Oryzias latipes: one gene and its partner. Each later gene encodes a partner of the first gene's protein in a complex. Links are inferred from orthologs where the notes say so. Each region holds a gene or a part of one and is shown on either strand. Other genes may lie near its edges.

What was found. Proteins that work in one complex are often made in the same cells at the same time.
Region 2: voltage-dependent L-type calcium channel subunit alpha-1C (region 1) and cacnb1 share a complex: the UniProt entries of both Homo sapiens proteins name them as parts of the calcium channel complex. The link is inferred for Oryzias latipes from reciprocal best matches to the Homo sapiens genes CACNA1C and CACNB1.

What each region holds. Positions count from the first base shown.
Region 1 is NC_019881.2:14,671,518-14,682,167, reverse strand, and holds part of voltage-dependent L-type calcium channel subunit alpha-1C, read right to left. Parts: intron 10,563-10,650; coding exon 10,539-10,562; intron 8,834-10,538; coding exon 8,705-8,833; intron 8,579-8,704; coding exon 8,451-8,578; intron 8,374-8,450; coding exon 8,276-8,373; intron 7,653-8,275; coding exon 7,556-7,652; intron 7,438-7,555; coding exon 7,329-7,437; intron 7,255-7,328; coding exon 7,092-7,254; intron 7,005-7,091; coding exon 6,516-7,004; 3' UTR 1-6,515. UniProt on the Homo sapiens protein: Pore-forming, alpha-1C subunit of the voltage-gated calcium channel that gives rise to L-type calcium currents. Mediates influx of calcium ions into the cytoplasm, and thereby triggers calcium release from the sarcoplasm.
Region 2 is NC_019866.2:5,370,887-5,381,536, forward strand, and holds part of cacnb1 (voltage-dependent L-type calcium channel subunit beta-1), read right to left. Parts: intron 8,135-10,650; coding exon 7,974-8,134; intron 7,559-7,973; coding exon of another isoform or gene 7,530-7,558; intron 5,365-7,529; coding exon 5,284-5,364; intron 3,208-5,283; coding exon 3,149-3,207; intron 3,064-3,148; coding exon 2,954-3,063; intron 2,325-2,953; coding exon 2,316-2,324; intron 518-2,315; coding exon 366-517; intron 1-365. UniProt on the Homo sapiens protein: Regulatory subunit of L-type calcium channels. Regulates the activity of L-type calcium channels that contain CACNA1A as pore-forming subunit.

The DNA.
Region 1 (10,650 bases):
ACATATTCTTTATGAATTGATAACTAAAATATAAGATACCTTCTTGATAAAATTGTATATACTAGTAATATATTCTGCAATTTCCTCTCTGTAATCGTTCAAAAGCTTTCATTGGACTTGAGAATGACAGTACAGACAAACCAAGAGGATTGTCTTAGTGTCCAGGGAACCAAACTTTCATTTAGATTCCCTCATCAACAGGCTAGGGTAATTCCTACTAGAAAAAAATAACAAAATATATATTTAAAATAGTCCTCTTAAAATATTTTGGTCATAATCACAACTTTGATTTACAAGAATTTATGATATGCTTCTCTGCAGCCCTGACAGATCCACATACGGAGGTTTAAATGGAAAAAATTACAAATCTACTAAAATCTGTAACTTAAACACACACTCCCTAAATGGCATGTGTTTAGAACTTTTATTAGTGTTTAAAATCTTATTGATATAAAGCAGCTTTTCTCCACAAAATCTCCTCACTTCATGTTTGTGGCGCCGTGTCACCTCGGCGGAAATGACCATCAGCTCTAGAAATTCCTCTGCAAGTGCTTTACAAGCTGAATCCAACACGCTTTTGCATATATGAAAACAAGTGTAAATGCTTTTAGATTTTTATCTTTAAAAATATAAGTTCATATTTAAACGGATGTAAAAAGAACTGGCCAGGTGCTATGAACTACGTCTTTGCTTCCTCGTCTGTATAAAAAGCAGATGAGCGGCTTTTTCCTACACATGATGTAGTTCAAGTCCTCCAAATCCATTTTGTAAGAAACATAAAAAAAACAACGAAACAAAGCTACACTGTTTGAATAACTAAAAACTAATAAAGATCCAGTCCTTTAGGAGGAATTTTTGGTTTGTTGCTGGGAAAATGTGTGTGTGTTTTTTATTTTTCAAAGGTGTGCAGTATTTTGCTGATGTCGGACTAGCTGAGAGACACAACTCTCAATGCTACAGTAGAAGGATGACCAGACGAGGACAGGCTGTTTGTAGGTTGATGAGTTTAAGACTTTTCTCCACAAAACATAAAAAAACACAAGCACAGACTTGTTCAACTCCATTTGCAGCGTGGATTCAAATTGTCCAGCAAATCACATTTCCTAATAAGCACAAATGATGGACAGATCTTTATTTTTAAAATCCAATCAGTAAATTAGCCTTTAGATTTTTACATTTTTCTTGAATGCAAAACTCCAAAAGCTAAAAAAGATAATTCCTAGGTCCTAAAGCCTGCTGAGGATATTCCATCGCTTTTTGGTTAAAAATACTCTCAATATAATGGAAATCCAAATTTTCCTAACTACATTTCCATCAAAGTGTCCAGCCCGTTCCTTATTCTAAACTGTGGTGATTAAATATTGTATGTTTATAGATATTTTTAATTTATATATTATAGAAAAATATACAATCAATGGCTAGTGGTGAGACAAAATGTCATCAGTTAAATAGGACCAATATTTTACATCTCTAAACCCATGCACATGAGACATTACTTTAACACAATTCAAAAGGTCAGATCTTAAATCAGCAAACTTCCAGCCACCCTCCTCCTCCTCAAATCCTCTTTTCAAACAGTTGTCCCTCGAGTCTTTACAAGACCACCAAACAGATTCAACAACAAGCCTCTGCTCTGTCCCACTTCACTTGAGGAACCCAAATAAATCTGGGCTGCATGGTGACCGCTTTCATTCGATGAAGCTGTATGAAGCAGCACAAGTGCGCACAAATACAACAGCAGTACCATGGAGGACTAAAGGGGGACGTGTTCTGATGGCTCCAGAGCCTCAGCTTGGTGCACGCTGATTAACAGGATCCATGCTGAATGCAACATCCTCGCAGGTCCTGCTAATTATCTGATCAGCTGTTACTGTCAGGATGAACAAAAAACATGCTCATCCTGTGTTTCAAATGGATTTAAAGTGGGTACGTGTATAGGTGTGAAGAAAGCTCAAAACGTTTTATATAGAGTGATGAAGACTACATAGAGGACCAGTAAGCACGGTATGCCATGACAATGGCTGCAGGGTTATCTGAGACTAGGAGGGAAAAAATGTCCAAAAAGTACAGAATATAAATCCAGATCCTCAACTTTGCAGCAAAAACATAGCTTTAATTTCCAATAACTGTATCAAAAACAAGTGGGTTTTCATGACACCTTACTCTAGTTTCAATCGCTGTGCATCTGTCCTTTAAAGGTTAAATAAAATCAGATATGTCTGGGCCCAGAAAACACAAGATATGCAAAATCCCCTCTGCTTCTTTAAATTCAAACATGTATCTCGCGATACCGACTTCAGTCAGTCTATGTACAATAAATAGAAAAAGCTACTCTGTAATAATGTGATATGATATTCAACCTTATTGGAAAGCTGACTGAAAGTGGGAACCTCATGCATCACTGATGGTACACAGATAAACTCGTTAAAAACCAAGAATAAGAAGAAAAAGATGCAGTCAAAAAAGTGTTGAGACAGGAAAAACAAACCTCTCAGGTCGCCATACAATGATCCACAAGCAAAACGCTGGTTTCAGATCATTGTCTCAATAAACGTTTTTGACCAACACCCCGCCCTGCCATGGGAAAGAGAATAAAATACAATTTTACTATACTGCACTGTAACGTACTGTACCTGATTTCAAGTATGTCAGGTGTGGAAACCACTGAGTTCACTTATAAATGTAACAAACAAACAAACAAAAGAAACCTTCATGATGCGGATCTTGTTAGACATTTTTCACAAGTGTGTTTACTTCGGGAACCGTGTACACAGTCATAGTTATTGCATTGTTTTTGCATATCTTGTGGGTTGCAGGAGTACACCCACTTTAAGCATCGTACTGCAACACAACACTTCATAGTTCATGCTGACCCACAAAGCACAGAAAAGCAGCAGCGCTGCTCCACGGCACACAGGGGGCGTCTGTGAGTCTCACTAACCCATCAGAGATTTGATTTACACACAGTGAGCCTGGTGTGGATCTTTTACAATGCAGGAAATTTCTTTGTTTTTGTCTATGAACACTATCCTAGAAAACAGAGGATAACTATATGACAATTAAAAAAATGATTTTAAGAATTAAAGTCTTTTTCTGTTGTTGGAAACTTTGCTTTTGTTCAAGAATCGAGTCATTCATGATTTTTGATCTAATCCAGAGATTAACATTCAACTGGAGCTACATTATGGGGTAAAATGCAGCAGCTTGGACACAAAAACTACATTTCAAATGTCTGTTATATTAATCTTTAGAAACTCAGTCTTTTTTATTGACCAAAAACAATCACAGTTCATTGATAAGAGCAGGGTCCTTTTGTCTTTCAACACTGATTGGTAATAGAAAGTAGATTAGGAAGACAAAAACTCATACTTTTGCTTTTCAACATTTTAAAATGCCTCAAAGAAATACTAAAAATGTCTTTGAAAATGTCAAACATCCTAATTTGGTGACTTTTACTTTTAAAGGGTCATAATAGGAATTTCACCTCAAAACAAGTTCTGCCACATAAACCAAACATCAATATTTAGATTGCATAAAAATGACAGAAGTCTGGCACAGGATGCAGTGTATGGCAGTGTGTTTATGCATACTCATTCCTGCCACTAATCTGCTCCGGTTTACACGTGTCAACTAAAAAAAACAGAGAGACATGAATTGGGAAAGATGCTCTAATGATCGAAATGATTTTTCTTGAAAGGAAAAAAAGAGAGTTTAAATGCCTAAAAAATACATATTTTTAAACATTTCTCCTGATTGAAGCTGATGTTTCACACAGCAACCGATCTTTATTTTTCCAAACTACCTATCATTTTTAGAGGGCATTAAGGCTTTTAACAATTTTACATTATTTTCAAAAAGATAAAGAACATCACTACGGCTAAGAGAGGGATTCAAAAAAATATTCTGTCCTTTGTGATGTTTTTGCAAACACACCTGACTGTCAATTAATTTAAGGTGAATCAAATTATGACTGAATAGCAAAAACATATAATAAAAACGATGATAAATCTGAGCCAGACATCTACAGCTTATTCAAGCTGCAGAAAAAAAAGTCTTTTTGGATACTTTTTCACTGGATATTTTGCAGTTTAGGCAAAAAAACATGATATTTTCTACAATAATTTTACTCCTACCAGATTTACAAATAAATGAAATGACACAGAGAGTTATTCTCTTTCTAATGGTACTCCTAAATTAAATTGTTTATTTTAATCTAATAGACAAATGTGTGTAATTCAGATGTCTTACAGTACCCCTACACAAGCCCTAATAATTTTTTTTGGGTGGTTACCTTCCATTAAAAAAGTATAATATATGATATGGGTGTTACAGCTGAGCAAATTAGGACATAAAGCCCCAGTGCTTTGACAAAAGGGTTGTTATGGCAGTATGAAGTTTGGTGCTTCTGTCATTCAGAGCAACCATCCATCAGAAAAAGCAGCAATTGCCAAAAGGCCTCTAACCTTATGACCTCCCTAAAGACCTTACGCCAAACGTCTAAATGGGACAGTAAAGAAAAAGTTACCCGATGGCTAGTGTTCAAAGACAGAGCGACTCTCACTCTGCAGCTTGGCTGAAAAGTAAAAGTGGAAGCATGCCTGTCCATGGTAACCCTGTGTTATGGAGGCCCATTAATACGCACAAAGACAGCTCCGCTCCCACGCACCCTACACAACGACGTACTTTTTTAAAAATGCTACCTTAAATGACTGTCTAGGCTTAAAATCGGCTTTTTAGAATACACAAACACGCACACATTCTCACATTTTTTTTCTCTTCTGGGAAAAATAAATAAATAAATAGATACAATCTGTAAAAGGTGCATACTGATAGAGAGGAGACCCCTCTCTCCTATAGTTACACATCTCCCACACTCGTGCACACTAACATCCTGTACTAAAATGCAGACATACACCCGCACACAGAAATATAGTTTATAGACTTGCACGCAGACACTACGCCCTGCTTCTGTACTTTAAACCTCTTAAATTCTCCTAAAAAATAAACCAAGCAAAAATACATTTATAAGACCAGCACCCCAATTTTGCAAACGACTCAAAGATAAATTAAAACACTGATGTTCATGAGTATTAAAAAAGAAAAAATCATGGCTAATCAGTTTTGCACATAATAAAAAGGTTAAATACATAGTGGGCTTGGTCTGCACATGGAGTGTGTGGCAGCAAATCCAGAAGGATTCCTAACTGAGAGGAAGAGGCAGGTCTTGGAGCAGGAAGTACGGTTGATTGATGGCAGATCCAGTATAGACCCCCCCCACTTGCCTGGAGTGTTTTTATAAACAGTCACTTCCCTCCTTTTCTTCCACCCCGCCATCTAAGTCCTGCTTGACAAAGACACGCCTCCCAAAGCGCAGAGAAAGAAAAAAACTACAGAAATGGTAAAATAGGCAAAGATGATAGAAAAAGTATCGAGGAAAGGTAGTGAGGGGTGATGAGGTATCAGGCAGAGAAGGGGGCTCACTGTTTCCAATTATCCACCAAAATGCTCCTCTCATTTCCCGTTTGGGGCAGCAAGAAGGTGGGACCAAACGGGGGAATGCGGTGGAGGGTTTGAGGCCAGATTAAAGTACCGTGACAGACGAGGTGAATTTCTCTCTTGCTTGCAAAAAGAAGAGCTGGCACACATCCAGTAGAGCGGAGTATCTTTCTCTTCTTGTGGCCCCTTCTAGCAGCCCTGTGGGACCATCCCTCAAATACTTTCCCCCCCGGTGACTGGGGCGATGCACACCTTAATCCCATTTTTGGGTTGGCAGGGTTGTGCTCCAAGGTTCTGTAGCTTTGGAAGAGGAGGAGAAATGAGACTTCAAACAGGGGTTTCCCAGCCCCTGTTGTACTCAATACAGCGCTTTGTTATTGGCTAAACAAAGAATGAGGAGGTGACCTTTGACCCAGAGCGGGCGTGGTCAGATTGTGATCCTTGATTGATCCCTCAACACGCAGGTCTGCTGTCCCCTAGCTGGCGTCAAGGCGGCCAGACAAACAACAGTGACACACCACCACAGTAAGCATAGGACATGAACACATTAACATACTGGGTCATTTTCAGAAAATCCATAAAAGGATTTCCTGCCGTCTTTGTCTTCTCTTTCTTTCATTTTGTCCTGTTTTTTCTCTTTTTTGCTTCTCCCTACTTTTTCTGCTTTTCATACTTTGAGGACATGATAAAACTGTGAGGCACTTCAGAGCCACACTCAGACACGTGTGGAGAACACACACAAACACACACAGATAGAGAAAGTCACACTCACACTCCCATACGCTCAGATAATATATAGTCTCATATAATTTACTACAAATATTCACATACATACTAGCTCAGAAACCAACAAGTCATGTGTTCAAGGTTGCATCACTGGTCGCCTTTGTCCAGAGCGACAATGTGTGAGTGCGCAGGGACAAACACAACCAGCTGCAGCACTGCTGCCGAACAGCACTGGCGCCGTCGCTCTCTGATGATGTCAGAGGGGCCATTTGCCCAATGAACTCTCTCAACCCCTACAAACTCGTTACACATTCCATATCCTCGTCCTCCAAAAGCCCACTGTCCCTCTGTCGCGCTCCTGCAATGACAGCAGAATTTCTATGGTGCTTTTCCCTCCGCGTCACCTCTTCCTCCTCCTCTTCTTGGCCTCTTTCCGTGGCTAGCAACTCCTGCCGCTCCTCTATAGAGGACGGCCCATGTATGGAGATTCTGTTTCCTGCAGCTTCTGCCCCATCTTCGCTAGAGGTCAAGCCAGCCACTCGGTCCCTTTGTGTTGATGCTGCTGTTGTGTGGAAGGGATGAAGGCTGCCGTTTGGACTGTGCTGAGAGGTGGAAGAGGTGCTGGGTGAGGGGTTTGAGGCATTCTTGCCATTGAGAATGTTGTTGGCAGCCTGTTCCATTTCCTCTATTGTCATGTCGCAGGCATCAGCCAACTCGACTTTGGTTGCCTCAATGAACGAAGGATCCTGGGCGAAATGGCCCAAACCTTCTGATATCAGGACCTTAACAGTCAGAAGAAAAATGAACATGAAACAGTGAAAATAGTTTTCTCTAGAAACTACACACTTGCAGTAACGACTAAGACTCACCGCTTCTACCAGACTGCCCGCGCTCCCATGAGACAGCGAAGTGGAGTCCTTCCCCAAAAGTGAGGGTACGGTGAGCGACACTGGCCGTGGAGCTCTTTGACTGGACGCTGACACGCTGGGGCTGGGGCTGGGTACCCGGCTGTTCCCGTTACTGTCGCTGTACCTGAGAGCAAAGTATTTCACAATAACACCAAACTGTCTTCATTTAAACCACTATTTAAAGGTACTCATACTCACCAGGGCCCACAGCTGACAGAAGGCAAGCTGGTATTGAGCTTTTCATGAGAGTTGGAGCCCTCTAGCCTCAAAGAGGGAACTCCCTGATAGGAGGCATCACTGCAGTGGGCTTAAAAGCAAACACGACATTACAAACAGATCAACACTATGATACTTATTAGGATAATTTTGTCTTTTTTCTTTCAACTTATCTGAAAAGCAACTTTTTTGCGGAGAATTGGATTTACCTGCAGGACTGGCTGGAGGCGTTGAGCACAGCCGGCTAAACAGGTTGGGTGAGTGACTCCTTCTCAGCTGAGGACTCAACCCGGCCACTGCTAGAGCCTAAATGAGAAGAAAACGTTAAAAAGTTGTTGTTAAAGTAAATGTAAAAACATGTTCACATGCATTCGAATGTGCATTCAAGCTGCTACTTCCAGTAAAAAGTCTGGATAAACGCGTATATTTGTAGGTTTTATTTGTAGGGCTCCTGCGTTCAAACTCTTGTGATCAAGCTTAGCTACGCACATTTTGAAGACAAAACATGGGGCCACTGAACACACATTGAAAGTTAAACATGGTTGAACTTTGACCAATCAGGGACTCGGATTTGGTAATGATGTATGGATGATGTCCCCTTTAATTAACACAAGCCCCAGCTGTTTGAAAATTGATCATGGAGGAGAAATTAATAATAGCGGTTTATATGACAGCAAGTCTTTCATAAATCCGAATAGAAAATTTGTGAGGTTTGCACAGCTTCGATATTTCACACCAAGCCTCTCCCAACTGTAGGTGTTGGACCAGCGCTAGTAAACAGTAGAAAAAGAAATAGAAGAAGAAGAAGCCCCTCCCTGCTTGTCCAGAACAACATGGGCGTGTGTTCCCCCCGTTTGAACGTAGCACAAGAGTTCAAGAGGTTAAATTGTAGTTTCAATACAATGTGAATTTTTTTTTTTCTTTACTACCTGGTGATGTACAAGATGTAAAGGTGCAGACGTCTTCTGAGAGACTTCTGGCCTTGGTTGTCTCCGGAGACACTCCAGGTGGAAGGACGATCTCCGTCCTGACACGCAGAACAAAAGTGTAAACAACTAGAGAACTAAACAAGAAAGGAACGACTGTTGACGTGTGTCTTCTCACCCAGAGAGGTTGGACAGAGGAAGACTCTTCGTGGAGACTGCCACCCTCCACTTCCTCTTCTTCCTTCTACTTCTTCTGCTTCCTCCATGGGAGTTAGCTGCCTGCATGTGTCATCATGATACACCAACCTTAAAAAGTGCACACAAATCCACAAAACAAATTCAAACAAACCTTGCAAGGGTTTAAAACTTTGAGATGAAAACAAAACTGTGTTGTTGTTCTTTTTTTTTTGTTAAATTTATTTTCAGCAGTACATGTCAGACGAAAGCGAGTGATCATCTTCGTGGTACTCTCTGTCGTCACCATAGCTCTCATCATACGTCTCCTCTGTTGACCCCTCCCCTCTCCGGATGATTGGCAGATGACTGTCACTGGAGTCGGAGCTACAAACAAACACGCATACAACCAGACAAGCAAGCAGACAAACAAAAAAAAACACACAATTATCACAAAAAAACAAACCACAGATGGCAGTACGATTAGACAAACAGATGCAGACACAGATAAAAAGCAGCTGATTAGCTATACAACGTCAGCAAGGAGCTGAGGAGGAAGAGACAGAAATCCACAGAGATTTAACCAAAGCATGTATGAACCAGAAAGAGGAGCTGAAGCAAAGGTCTTAGGAGAAGCAGTTGGAGGCTTGCAGCTGTTTTGTTGAAGCAAAATGGTGAATAGTATTTTAGGCAACATTTGGAACATGAGAAATGACGCAAGACTGAAGTTAAGACATCTTTAAAACCGAAAAAAGACACAAAAAAGGCAAACTTTTTGAACGAGGCTTTCTATAACCCAGTGGCTTCACGGTAACTTTAACTTTATTAAAAACTCTTGCCAGAATGTATGTATTTTTAGCAGGAAAAATTGTCTTAACGTTGGTAAAGACTAAATAAACAAATACCAGAGAATCCAGGGCTATTAGATTGGTTGATCTGGTTTATCAAACCTATTTTAAAAATCAAAATCTGCCATTCTGCATCTCAAAGATGTCTTTTTATCAGTTACATCAATTTCATATTCCACACAAGCTTCAAGGAACCGTTCTGACATTTGAATTTCGGTCTTTAGTTCTTCACCAGGCTGTTTAATCCATTCAAACACGTTTCTTAAATAATCCTTTATTTATAAATTATTATACTATTTTTTAAAGTTTTTTTTTTTAAGGAGAATCATCAAATATAGAACTAATATTGCATGTGATCCAGTAATCGCAAACTGTAAAAACAGCGTGGTAAGGAAAAGAAAAACAAAATGTCTAAATGCCATTTTGTCCCTTTTTTTTATCAGCGATATAGAGCTTTACAGCAAATTCTGGGTTAGAGCAGATCTTCAATCTATTTCAGTTCCACGAATCTGAGTTTACTCAAATCGAAAACATCAGAAAGCTGATACTTTCTCATACGGCTTAAAAACACCTAATTTCATTTGTGGTCTGCAGCTTCACAGCACAAAAAACATGTACACAACATAATTAAACAACATGGAAACATTTGTATTTTACCATTCGTTCAAAAACTCATAGTTGTTCAAAACAAATGAGCTAGTTAATAAAAAAATCTGTATTTAAAGTAGATTAGTTCATGAAATTTTGAAAAAATTTGAGTCGTGGAATTCAAACTGTCAGTTGAGACAAATATAAAGCAATAACTCAAAAGCACATAAGTAGCTTTTACAAAAATATAGACTGATCTCATTGTATTGTAACATTTTGAACTAATGAATAACTTTATTTTTTTAATGGTCTAAAAACAAGATGAGTATCAGCTTTCAGATGTTTGCATAGATGAAGAAAAAGGAGCTAAAACAGAGTCTAACCCAGACCTGCCACAGTGTGCAATAATAGAGCAGCAACACAAGGTAGATAGGAGAGGTTTGGCCATGTGACACCAAACAGTCTATCTGCAGCTTAGCTGGCTAATCTTTAAAGTAGCAGCACTTTTACTATAGCAACTAAAGCATTTTGTGCATAGCAACAAATGCCACTGTTGTGCCATGACAGCTATGCTCTTTTCCATACTGCATCATCATTTTATGCGCACTCAAAACAGACAAACATTCATTCTCTTTCTCTGTCCCCTGGCAACATACCGCATGAGGGTGTCATAAAACATCCTGCATGCCAACAGAAATAGAAGACAAGGAGAAAAAGCAGGTAAATAAAGAGGCGGTGAAAGAAATAGTTTGTTGACTGTGAAAACTT
Region 2 (10,650 bases), on another chromosome or scaffold:
TCCTGTCATACATATTTGTTCCGTTTGTGTTGAATAATAAAGTTTATTAAAAAAAAAATCCACTCGAAGTACAAAAAAAAAAATAATAAAATACATTTTTACTTTGCCGTGTGTGAAAACAAATACAGGGCTGCAGTACACACTGTCAGAAAGAATGAAATAAAGCATATTAGGCAAACTCAAGTGCTCTTCTTCAACCCGTGACGCTGCTTCATCATATGTAAATTTGTTTTGGGTGTTTTTTATCCCCATTCTTGAAGCTCTCGTTTGAGCACCGGAACAATTTCAACAGCACCAGTTTGGCACCAGATGAAATTCCAAATGGTACCCATCCCTACAAATTAATACCAGACATGAAGGTTTACCTTGGGAGATGCTATTTTGATATAGACGATGATGGGAGCCAGAGAGGTCTTTGCCAGCTGAGTGGGGTGGTTGATGGTGTCTGCATCCAAAGCAACGAGCTGCAGGGTTCGGGCCAGCTCGAAGATGCGCTCAATCTCACTCTGCACCTCAGCTGACAGCACAGGAAAGAGACACAAATAAATAAACAAACAAAAAGTTATTAAAAAGCAGGCTGCTTTTATCTTTAAGGAGATGCAGCTTTGAACAGCAGTTAAATTCTCTTACTTTCTGCATAGTTATTAAACGAACATGTTAGTTCCTCACCGTGCACGTTTGGATTTTTTTTAAAAACAATGACAAAAGCCCACAAGCTTTCAAGGATGTAAATCAGGTTGGACCACAGTTTTAAGTTCCATTTATTCAGAGCTAAATGGAGCACTGGAGCATCTTCATTCAGTTGCCACCTCCAGACATTTCAGATTCTCTTAAGTGCTTCTGATCATTTCTAATTTGAGGTTGTAAAGGAAGGAGGCACTTAGAAATGAGATGCCTGTGGTACTTGAAATAGCTTACAATGAGGGCACAATTCTTCACCATGTAACCAAAACAGAAACAAACAAAATACAGATAAAAAAAACATACAGCATGGGGGGAGAAAACGTTTTTTTGTTAGCACAAATAGGCACAGCAAAATTATTGCATCAGGATAGCCATTCTAGACGGAGGACTTTTTGTTTTCATTGTTCCTCAGCCACAGCCAACCAGAGCTTTTGCATTTCAAGCGTAGTTCCAACATTCATCGAGAGGGAAAAAAATGGCGCCTGACATCATCTGCCGGAAGTGGAAAACATACAACTTACCTTAACCTTAACCCAGAAGTGATCAGAATTGTAAAAATAACATGCATTACAGCTTAAAACTGGAAATATTCTAGGTAAAACTTTATAATAACTATGGGTTATAGCTTGGTAAATTATTAACAAAACTGTAAGTTAACGAGTTATAAATAACTTTGTTAAGGATCTATAAATGTGCCTTTATAACTAAAAATTGATCATGAACAAGCATTTAATAAATTTCTCGACAACGATTTGTTAAGTATTAGGTAATGGCTTATCTGTTACTGGGATGTTGTTTCAAAGTGGAAAACATTCCTCATTTATTAACCGTTAAGAAAGGAGGGACATTTCCAACATTGATACACTGATGACTGTTATTTATAACCCATTAACTAACAGTTTATTCATGATTTATAATAGATGATTTATAATGATTTATAATAGATGATTATTATAAAGCATTACCAAACTGGAACTGGCAGGGTTTGCCAGTTTTTTTTCGAGCGATATGGGGCAGACTTCCGGTTCTGATTCTGGATGTCGATGTCTACAGCCAGGGTTAAACTGACAGCCAGAGTGCCCCTTGCCCTGGGGGTCAAACATCAGCACCTCCAAAGTTGTGCCAACTCAGCAGTGATGACAGATAACAGGCCGTTTAATCGACAGGGGCCCCATATTTCAGAAGCCTCCAGGAGGACTCCAAATTAAAGCTGTCCAGTCAGTCAGTCCAAGTGACAAGAAATGGGAACTTTTAAGGTAAGTAAATATGGATAACAACTGCAATAACTCAAGTTTTAACAGTATATAAAAGGTAAAGTCCAGCTCGTATAGGGGCCATTCAAGAGTCTTACTAAAGACGTACTGTATCCAGACTACTTTTAGGGGTAATTGCAATATGTGGTTTGAACAGCAGCAAGCAGTCGCCCACAGATCTCTGCCTGCGCGGGTTTCGTAATTCTTTCCTTTTTGTTCCAGACTGCAGGCTGTCACTCTGAGGTATGAGGAACAGAGAAACTGACAGGCAAACAGACAAACAATGTATGAGTACATGATGAATATAGTTAGGGGGGGAAAAGCGAAAAGAAGAGGGAGAGAAGCTGCATTGTTTCATTGCACGGAGAGCATACATACCCAGTACGTCTGAATCACAAGACAGAGAAGGAGGAGGAGGAAGAGGAAAGGTTTGGCAGAGTAAGGAGGATGGTTGAAGGGCACAAGAGACAAGATGAAAAGAGAGAAAAGGCCTAAATCAGACTCGATCAGAGGAGTTGTAAAAGCTTACAGGTCTTTTGATGAGGTACATCCTATGCTGTGTCTACCCTATTATGGCTAGGTCCTTAGATGAGTTATAACAAGTTGGATTCAAGGCTCCGAAGAATCCCTTTTTGGCATGTTGATCTAACATCAGCTCCTCCCAAAATGTTCTAATTTCTCCAATTTTTAATCACAAATTCCCCTGTGCCTGAGCAATCAAGTCAAACTGCAAGATGCAGCTACAAAAGCCAAAATAATAAATGTAGATTTGTGCTGAAGTTGGTTTGTGAGAATCAGAAACACATAAAAAATGTCTTTCTTGCTATTTGAATAAGCTGTTTGGAGTCTTATACTTTAAAAAAAAGTGTACCTAAAGAAACAGGGATATGGAAGAGACAGGAAAAGATGTTCAGCAACACGACACAATGAACAAACATCTTTAATTTTCCAGAGTTTCATTTTATAAAAGTTTTCACTGCCAGAAGACGTCTGGTCACCGAAGCGAGGTTTCTTACCCAGGCTGGAGCGAGTGCTGGAGCGCTCGATGATGGTGTGTTTGCTGGGGTTGTTCAGGACTGAACGTTTGGCCAGAGAGATGTCTGCTGTCACCCGCGTGATGGATATTCTGAAACAGAGATCCAGCACTTTACAGGATAAACGTATAACATTACAGGTCATGCATTGTTGAAGCCTTTTTTTTTTTCTTTTACCTTCCTTCAAACTTGTGTTTCAGAAAATCAAAGAGAGCTTTCTGCATCATGTCTGTCACCTATTGGATAACAAAACATTCAAAAACAGACAGCCATTAGTGTAGTTAGGTTCATTAAAAAGCAATAAAAATTTTTTTTTAATATGTTTTTTAGAAAAAAAATAGTTTTTCACATATTTCTTTCACTATAAACACTTATTTATGCAATAATCTTAAATCAGCAAATAATTTTCTGACTCAGCTATGTCTATTTTAAAAGATAGGTTTCTCCTAAAAAGCAAAAACACAAATTGAATAAAGTGTAAATATACCCGGCACTCACGATAAGTAAGGGATACTGTGAAAAACTTAGAGGATGTTGTAAAAAGTGTTTCACTTTACAGATTTTCAGGATACGGAGGCAATTGTATTGGAGTGGTGAACACTTTATTTAGGGTTTTTTTTCACATAATGACCTGACTGTGTTCATTGTCTTACTTAAAAGCAAAACAACAAAAATTCTAAAAGAAAATCCTTTTCAATGTGGCATCAATTTCAGCATTCTAGGGATGTAAAAAGCTGATTTTACCAGTAAGTCATTCCATCATCATCATTCAAACAGCCATGAGCATCGCTTAATGGATGAGCAGCACCATCTATCTGGCGATGGCGCGCCTTCAGGTTGGTACAGCATGCAGTCAGATGTGAAGTCAGGTGACCTTGTCTTCAAGTGTCATCAGCAGACTTCCATCAAGACTCGGAACTACTGGCAGAGTTTGTGAAAAAACACAGCCATGTTCTGCACACAGAAACACCACGCAGTTGCTGGCCCGTTTACCAGATGTGAGGGGTACCAGAGTTTCTGGAACATTCACAACCAACTCCACTGCTTTGACTGGAATGTAAAGGGTTTGCCATCCTAAATGAAAGCTTTTTTTTACTTTTATGCAATTAATAACTCATTGATTAGTACATTTTGCTTACATTAACCCACTTATGGAATCCTAAGGAAATGCAAGCCAGTTAAAACCAGTTAGGTATACATGATCTTACTGGCAGGAGCAGAGGGCACCGACACAGACCACTAAAAACGTAGATTTGGTGAAGACGACCATTTGACGTATTAAGGACTATTGGAGGTTTCTCCAATAGTCTCCAATGGAGGCCAGACATTGGCCTGAAGCCACCCTGGGGGGCCACCCTGGAGGATATATCTGTGGGATCCATTCTACTGAGTCTCATGGAGATAATCCCGATAAGCCTTCCTCACAAATGCCAGACAACCATTGCAGGTGACTCCACTGACAGCAAGACAGGGCCGTGTAAGTTTGCAGCGGACACAAGACCATGTGACCTGGACAATGCAGCAATGGTCTTCCATCATGTTCACTGATGAGTTTGGGGTCACCCTACCCAGAAATGATGGTCGTCAGCATTGTTAGAGAAGGTGAGCTTTGGTGGAGGAGGAGCAACATTCTGGGCAGGCATCACCAGTTGGAGATGGTTCAGTCACTGCACGCTCCTACCTCAGAGACATCATAGAACCACCATCATCCCCCAATTCCCCCAGGACACCCCCAACTTTCTGTTCATGGATGATAACACTCCACCACATGGTGCCAGAATTGTTACAGCTGGACTTCAGGAAGTCGGAGTGCCTCATATGATGCGGTTAGCAATTACCCCTGAGCTGAACCCCATAGAGTACGTCTGGGACCAGCTGAAGCAGAGACTGGATGATGGTTACCCCCCCCCCCCCCCCCCCCCCCCCAAGTGATCTGGCAACACTGCATGTGGCACTTGTGGAAGAGTGGAACGCCTCAGAACAACATCATGAGACTAGAGGGGGCAGAACGTCGCTGTCAATTCATATCAAACTAATCAAAATAGTGTTTATTTTCCTGCATTATTAGAAATATCAAAGGGAACTTTAACGCATTTCATTAAAACTTAAACTAAATGCGATAAGAACTCATGCAAATAACAATATCCCTTACTTATTGCGAGTCGTGTAATTCAGTATAAATGTTACCATAAAACTAACATGTTTGTAGACAACTTGGAGCTTTATTCATATTTTTTTAAAGTAATTGTTTAGTTTAGATTTTTACAATAATTTAGAGTTTTTTGTGTTTGTCATCATAATGTGTGTCTGACCTCATAGCCTTTGAGAGACGGTCCCACCAGAATGATGGGTCTCATGGAGGGAACCACATCGTAGGGAGGGACGTGTTCCATCTGAGCCAGGACAGAAAGCACAGGAATCAGGGCGAGTCATGTCACCGTGCCATGTTTGCACATACACTCTGCACAGCTACACAAAGCTCACACTGATCAGCAGTCAGTTACACTCATGCATAAATCCCGGTTGTCACTCTCTGATGCAAGAGGTCAGATTGATGGATGGCAACTTTAAGATGCTGGAGTCCATTTTCCTTTTATTGAGTGCCTATGAGAGCTCACAGCCGGGGATCAATTTTAAACGGAGAGCACTGGCCTCAATTTCTTTGTCTGCAGTCTCACATAATTAAAGTGCCCATAATTAAACCAGACGCAAAGGTGTCAAGAAAGCTCTCGTGGCTGTCCCACAACGTCTAAAGCAAATGCTGTCTTCCTTTCTTGGTATAAATCAGAAGAAACCGCCAAAATATTGCAAGGAAAATCGTCAAAACTTGATTTTTTACTAAAAAAAAAAAAAAAAAAAAGGATTTAAAGGATTTCAAATGTATCAGTCGGTGTAAATGCCAAATAATATTCTTTACTTTCTGTGAGCAAAATACTGCACCAACACCACTAAATATAGAATTCTGAAGTGGATTTAACATGCAAGCCGCTTCCACCATTTACATGAAAAGTGAACCATTCTGTAATATTTTCTACTCATCACCTACACACAAACATAATCCACACTGCAGCATGTGAACCCATAGACTGTGAATCCTAACAGGAGTGATTCATCCATATGAGATCCATACGCATCAGCCTGCTTTAGCAGCTGTTTTCAGATGGAGAATTGTCACACGTTCCACAGATTCGCTTTGAGCGGCAGAAAAGTTCTGGACCTGCTCCTCAACATAAAATGCAGCGGCGGAAGCTCATTTCACCTCTTTTGTACTCACTGGAGCTATAAATAAATAGTCTAAAAGCATCCAACTGGCTCCTGTCAATGCAAGGGTCAAAGCTGGCGCACCGAACATAACAGTGCAATCCGGTTCTCTGAACTGCGTGAGAACAGAGCAGTTTAATGTGGCGTTACACAGATGAAGGCAAGAATCACTTCAAAAAATTAAGTGTTATATTTATAGAGCAAAGACACAAAAATAAAATCTTCTACAAAATGTAAAAATATATTTTTATGGGATTGGTTTCATTTTGCTTAACTGGTAGAATAGAATTACATTCTGTTTTTTCCAAAAAACAGTTTTTTTCCTTTTTCTGTGAACCTCTCAATGACAGAATGGTGGTGTAACATGCATGTCATTTGGAGGCTTTATATATACAGAATTAAACATGAAAGACCCACTCCATTTATCTTTTGATCCAGTCCTGGTTTTCCAATTGTTTTTTTTTTCATGATTATCCTGTTTTTAGCTAAAAAACAAACAAAAAACAGTTGTTTTGTAGGACATAATTTCTGCAGAGTGGCAGTAATTCATCAGAAGTGCACCTCTTAATTGTGGCCGGGACCGTTGCAAGCAACCCCGCCCCTCTTCCCTTGTCTGTTGCGGAGCGAGAAGCTTGTAGCCTGCCAAGCGTATCTTCTAATCACAAAAACCTCTTTTCCAAACTGCATTTTTTTATTTATTTTTTTCATCTGCTCCTGATTCCTAACAATTAAAATAAAGAAATACTGCAATTTTATGCTCAATTTTCTTTATATATGTCCATATATGTCCTTTATCATCAGAAAAATGCCACAAGAACATGTTAAAAACCCCATTTTCAGTGTGGGTCTTTCAATTGGATCTTCATTAGTAAAAAAAAATCCTACAATGTAAGCATTACAGTTTGAATAGTTACCCTAACCTGGATAAATGACTTGCTGTGAAAATACTGTAAATTGGTGTTTTTTTTCTCCTGCACGTATAATGCGAGATCCAAATATAAATTGTTGTGAAAGGCATGTCAATTTGTAAATGAAGAGCCAAAAGCAAAACTGAAAGACAGTCAGACTGACTAATTGGGGCGGATCTGCACCTGTATCCTGACAGCTGGGATCCAGATTGAGTGGAATTGACAGAATCATCAATACCATTTACACGTTTTACTCTGACAGTTCAATTCAGCTTCAATTTTTTTTTAAGCACAAAAAGCTAAAAGCGATCACATACTGAACAACACAAGACAATACAAAGCGGTAACAACTATAGCAGGGGGTTAGTTTGGGAGCAGACCACACTCACCGACTTCTGTTTCTGTTTAGCTGGACCCCCTACAGTATCATTCCAGGTAATAGCAGGAAGAGGCAGAAAACACAAGACCACATTTAGTTATAGACTTGTTAGGATTAGAGCAGACATCGAGAGAAAAGCTGTTTATTGATTAAAGGTTACACTGCCTGCCTGCAGTGGTGAGGTTAAAAGAGGAGGATTTTGAGGAGGAGCAGCCATGTCAGCGTTTGTTAGTTCAATCCTCTCCCAGCACACAAACATATCCCGCCATGGCCATCACGGTCAGAGCTTGAGGAGCCAAGTAGGGGTAGATTTGGGTGGTAAAGTGGATGTAAGTGCAGTGGCGAAGGGAGTTTATAGGAAGCTTGAAGGACCGTATTCAAAAAGGTGAGTGCGGGGTTGAGGAGCAGGGATGCTGCAGAGGGAAGCAAGGCATCTTGGGACCCCTAATGTTACCTTCTTAAAGAAGGGCAGTCGGTGGGCGTTGGCCTGAGGGGACGTTACGCTCCCCGACATGCCCTTGGAGGAGCGAGGCTCTCCCTGGGACTCAGGGGGCTCCTCGGCTTCCAGGTCGAGGGGGTCAGCGTCAAAGGGCATCGTGGAAATATCCACGTGAGCTGATGGGTTTGCGGAGGCACAGAACAGAAAAGAAGGAGGAGAAAAAACAGGATGAGGTGAAGAGAAAACAGGAAAAAAAAAGACACAAAAGGGTGAAGAACAAGTAGAAGAAAGAGGGTGAGAGGAATACTGGAGGTGGTAAGAGATGACACAGGCTGCGATCGAAAAATGTGATAAGTGTGATTTAAACTGGGAACAAAAGCTGACAAGAGTTTATAAAAAGGACAGCAATGATTACCAGGAAGTAAAGTGCAGACAGAGGGTGTAATGACTAGAACAGCAGGGAACAAAGTGAATTCAGTGTGAAAGCAACCAAACCTGAAGCATAGATGTGAAAAAACAGCAGCAAAGCAAGCAGACTACAGGAAAGGTGACCGAAGATGAATTGTGTTGGTGGACTGAAAGGGCTGTCGTCATAAAATTACAGGATATTGTGGGTTTAATTAGATTTTTGATTGGGGAGTAAATATACGGTGGCCCAGAAGGGTCACAACACAACACATTAACTTTATACACAACACACAAACTTTACACACAACACACTAACTTTACACACAACACACTAACTTTACACACAACACACTAACTTTACACACAACACATTAACTCACAACACAACACATTAACTCACAACACAACACAATAACTCACAACACAACACATTAACTCACAACACAACACAATAACTCACAACACAACACATTAACTCACAACACAACAATAACTCACAACACAACACATTAACTCACAACACAACACATTAACTCATGGCCACGAAGGGTCACAACACAACACATTAACTTACCTCACAACACATTAACTCACAACGGAAGTAAAGCAGCAATTGAAGTGCTTTTATTCTGAAATTTCTACTGGGCTGAGCAACTAACTACCTAACAGAAAGTAATGTCACAGTGAGCTGTGGAGGGAGCATGTTATTGCTACAAGAGAAGCTAGCAGCAGTGTTGCCAGAAACTTTGTACTACGGTTCTCCTTCCTCTAAACACACACAATATGAACGCACACTCCTCCCTCCGCTCTGACACCCCCCTCTGTCGCTGCACGCGCGCTCCTCTCCTCTCCTTTTTTCCGCTCCGTCCTGTGTGTGCTTGTGTGTTGGGGACTGCACGTGCTTGTGTGAGAGGACGGAGCGGAAAAAAGGAGAGGAGAGGAGCGCGCGTGCAGCTCCCTCCACAGCTCACTGTGACATTACTTTCTGTTAGGTAGTTAGCTGCTCAGCCCAGTAGAAATTTCAGAATAAAAGCACTTCAATTGCTGCTTTACTTCTGTTGTGAGTTAATGTGTTGTGAGGTAAGTTAATGTGTTGTGTTGTGACCCTTCTGGGCCATGAGTTAATGTGTTGTGTTGTGAGTTAATGTGTTGTGTTGTGAGTTATTGTGTTGTGTTGTGAGTTAATGTGTTGTGTTGTGAGTTATTGTGTTGTGTTGTGAGTTAATGTGTTGTGTGTTAAGTTAATGTGTTGTGTGTTAAGTTAATGTGTTGTGTGTAAAGTTAATCTGTTGTGTGTAAAGTTAGTGTGTTGTGTGTAAAGTTAGTGTGTTGTGTGTAAAGTTAATGTGTTGTGTTGTGACCCTTCTGGGCCACCGTATAAATATGACGATTTTTCTGTTCTTTTTAGGAAGAAGAACTTGAATCATCACAGAAATTCTGACGACTCCAAAAGACCAAAAATTAACCTGTGTAGGACTAAAACAATCATCCTAATGGAGGAAACTTTATTTTTAATACACAAACACTCAGAATGAGTTAAAAAGCATCTGAAAAATGCCCCTGGAAAGATTTAAAGTACAGTGGTCCCTCGCTATAATGCTGTTCAGCTCTCTCTGTCTCGCAGATTCTTTTAATGTATTAAATATCGTGTTCTGTATCCTGATTGGCTGTAGAAAATTTAGACAAATTTCAATACATATGTTCACCAGATCATGTGAAAAACCTTTCTACAATTATGAAACCTAATTTATCAACCTTTAGACATATAGTTAACCAGTTTGCATTCAATGCTTTTTAAACATTTAACCTATCTGATAATTTAAAGCCACTCAAGTTCCTATTCAAAGAAAAAAAACCTGAAAATCCTTTGATGTATCACTATTTTCAGTAAATAAAACCTAAAGGTTTTTGAAACTTATTGGCCATATCTGAATGCCCATCTCATTTTTAACGTTTTAATTGGGTTTGCTCCTCCACCTTTAACTAACTGTATTCATGAGATAGACAATTGGCATCATATAGCTTGACATAGCTTTTCTTTTCTTTTATTTGTTTATGCTGAAATTTGGTGATTGGAGCTCTGCTGAAAATGCGGTTTCCCTCTGGGATAAATAAACTATTCTGATCCTGATGGGTATAAAATCCAGAGTGTTTGTTTTTTAATGTAAACATTTTGTGGTCATGTCTTCTCTGTGCTGTTGTATGTTGTATAGGATGTATGCTTTTCCCTTTGTTTGTCATTGCTTGCAATGTCTGCATTTGTCTTAGAACAACAGATGCAGTT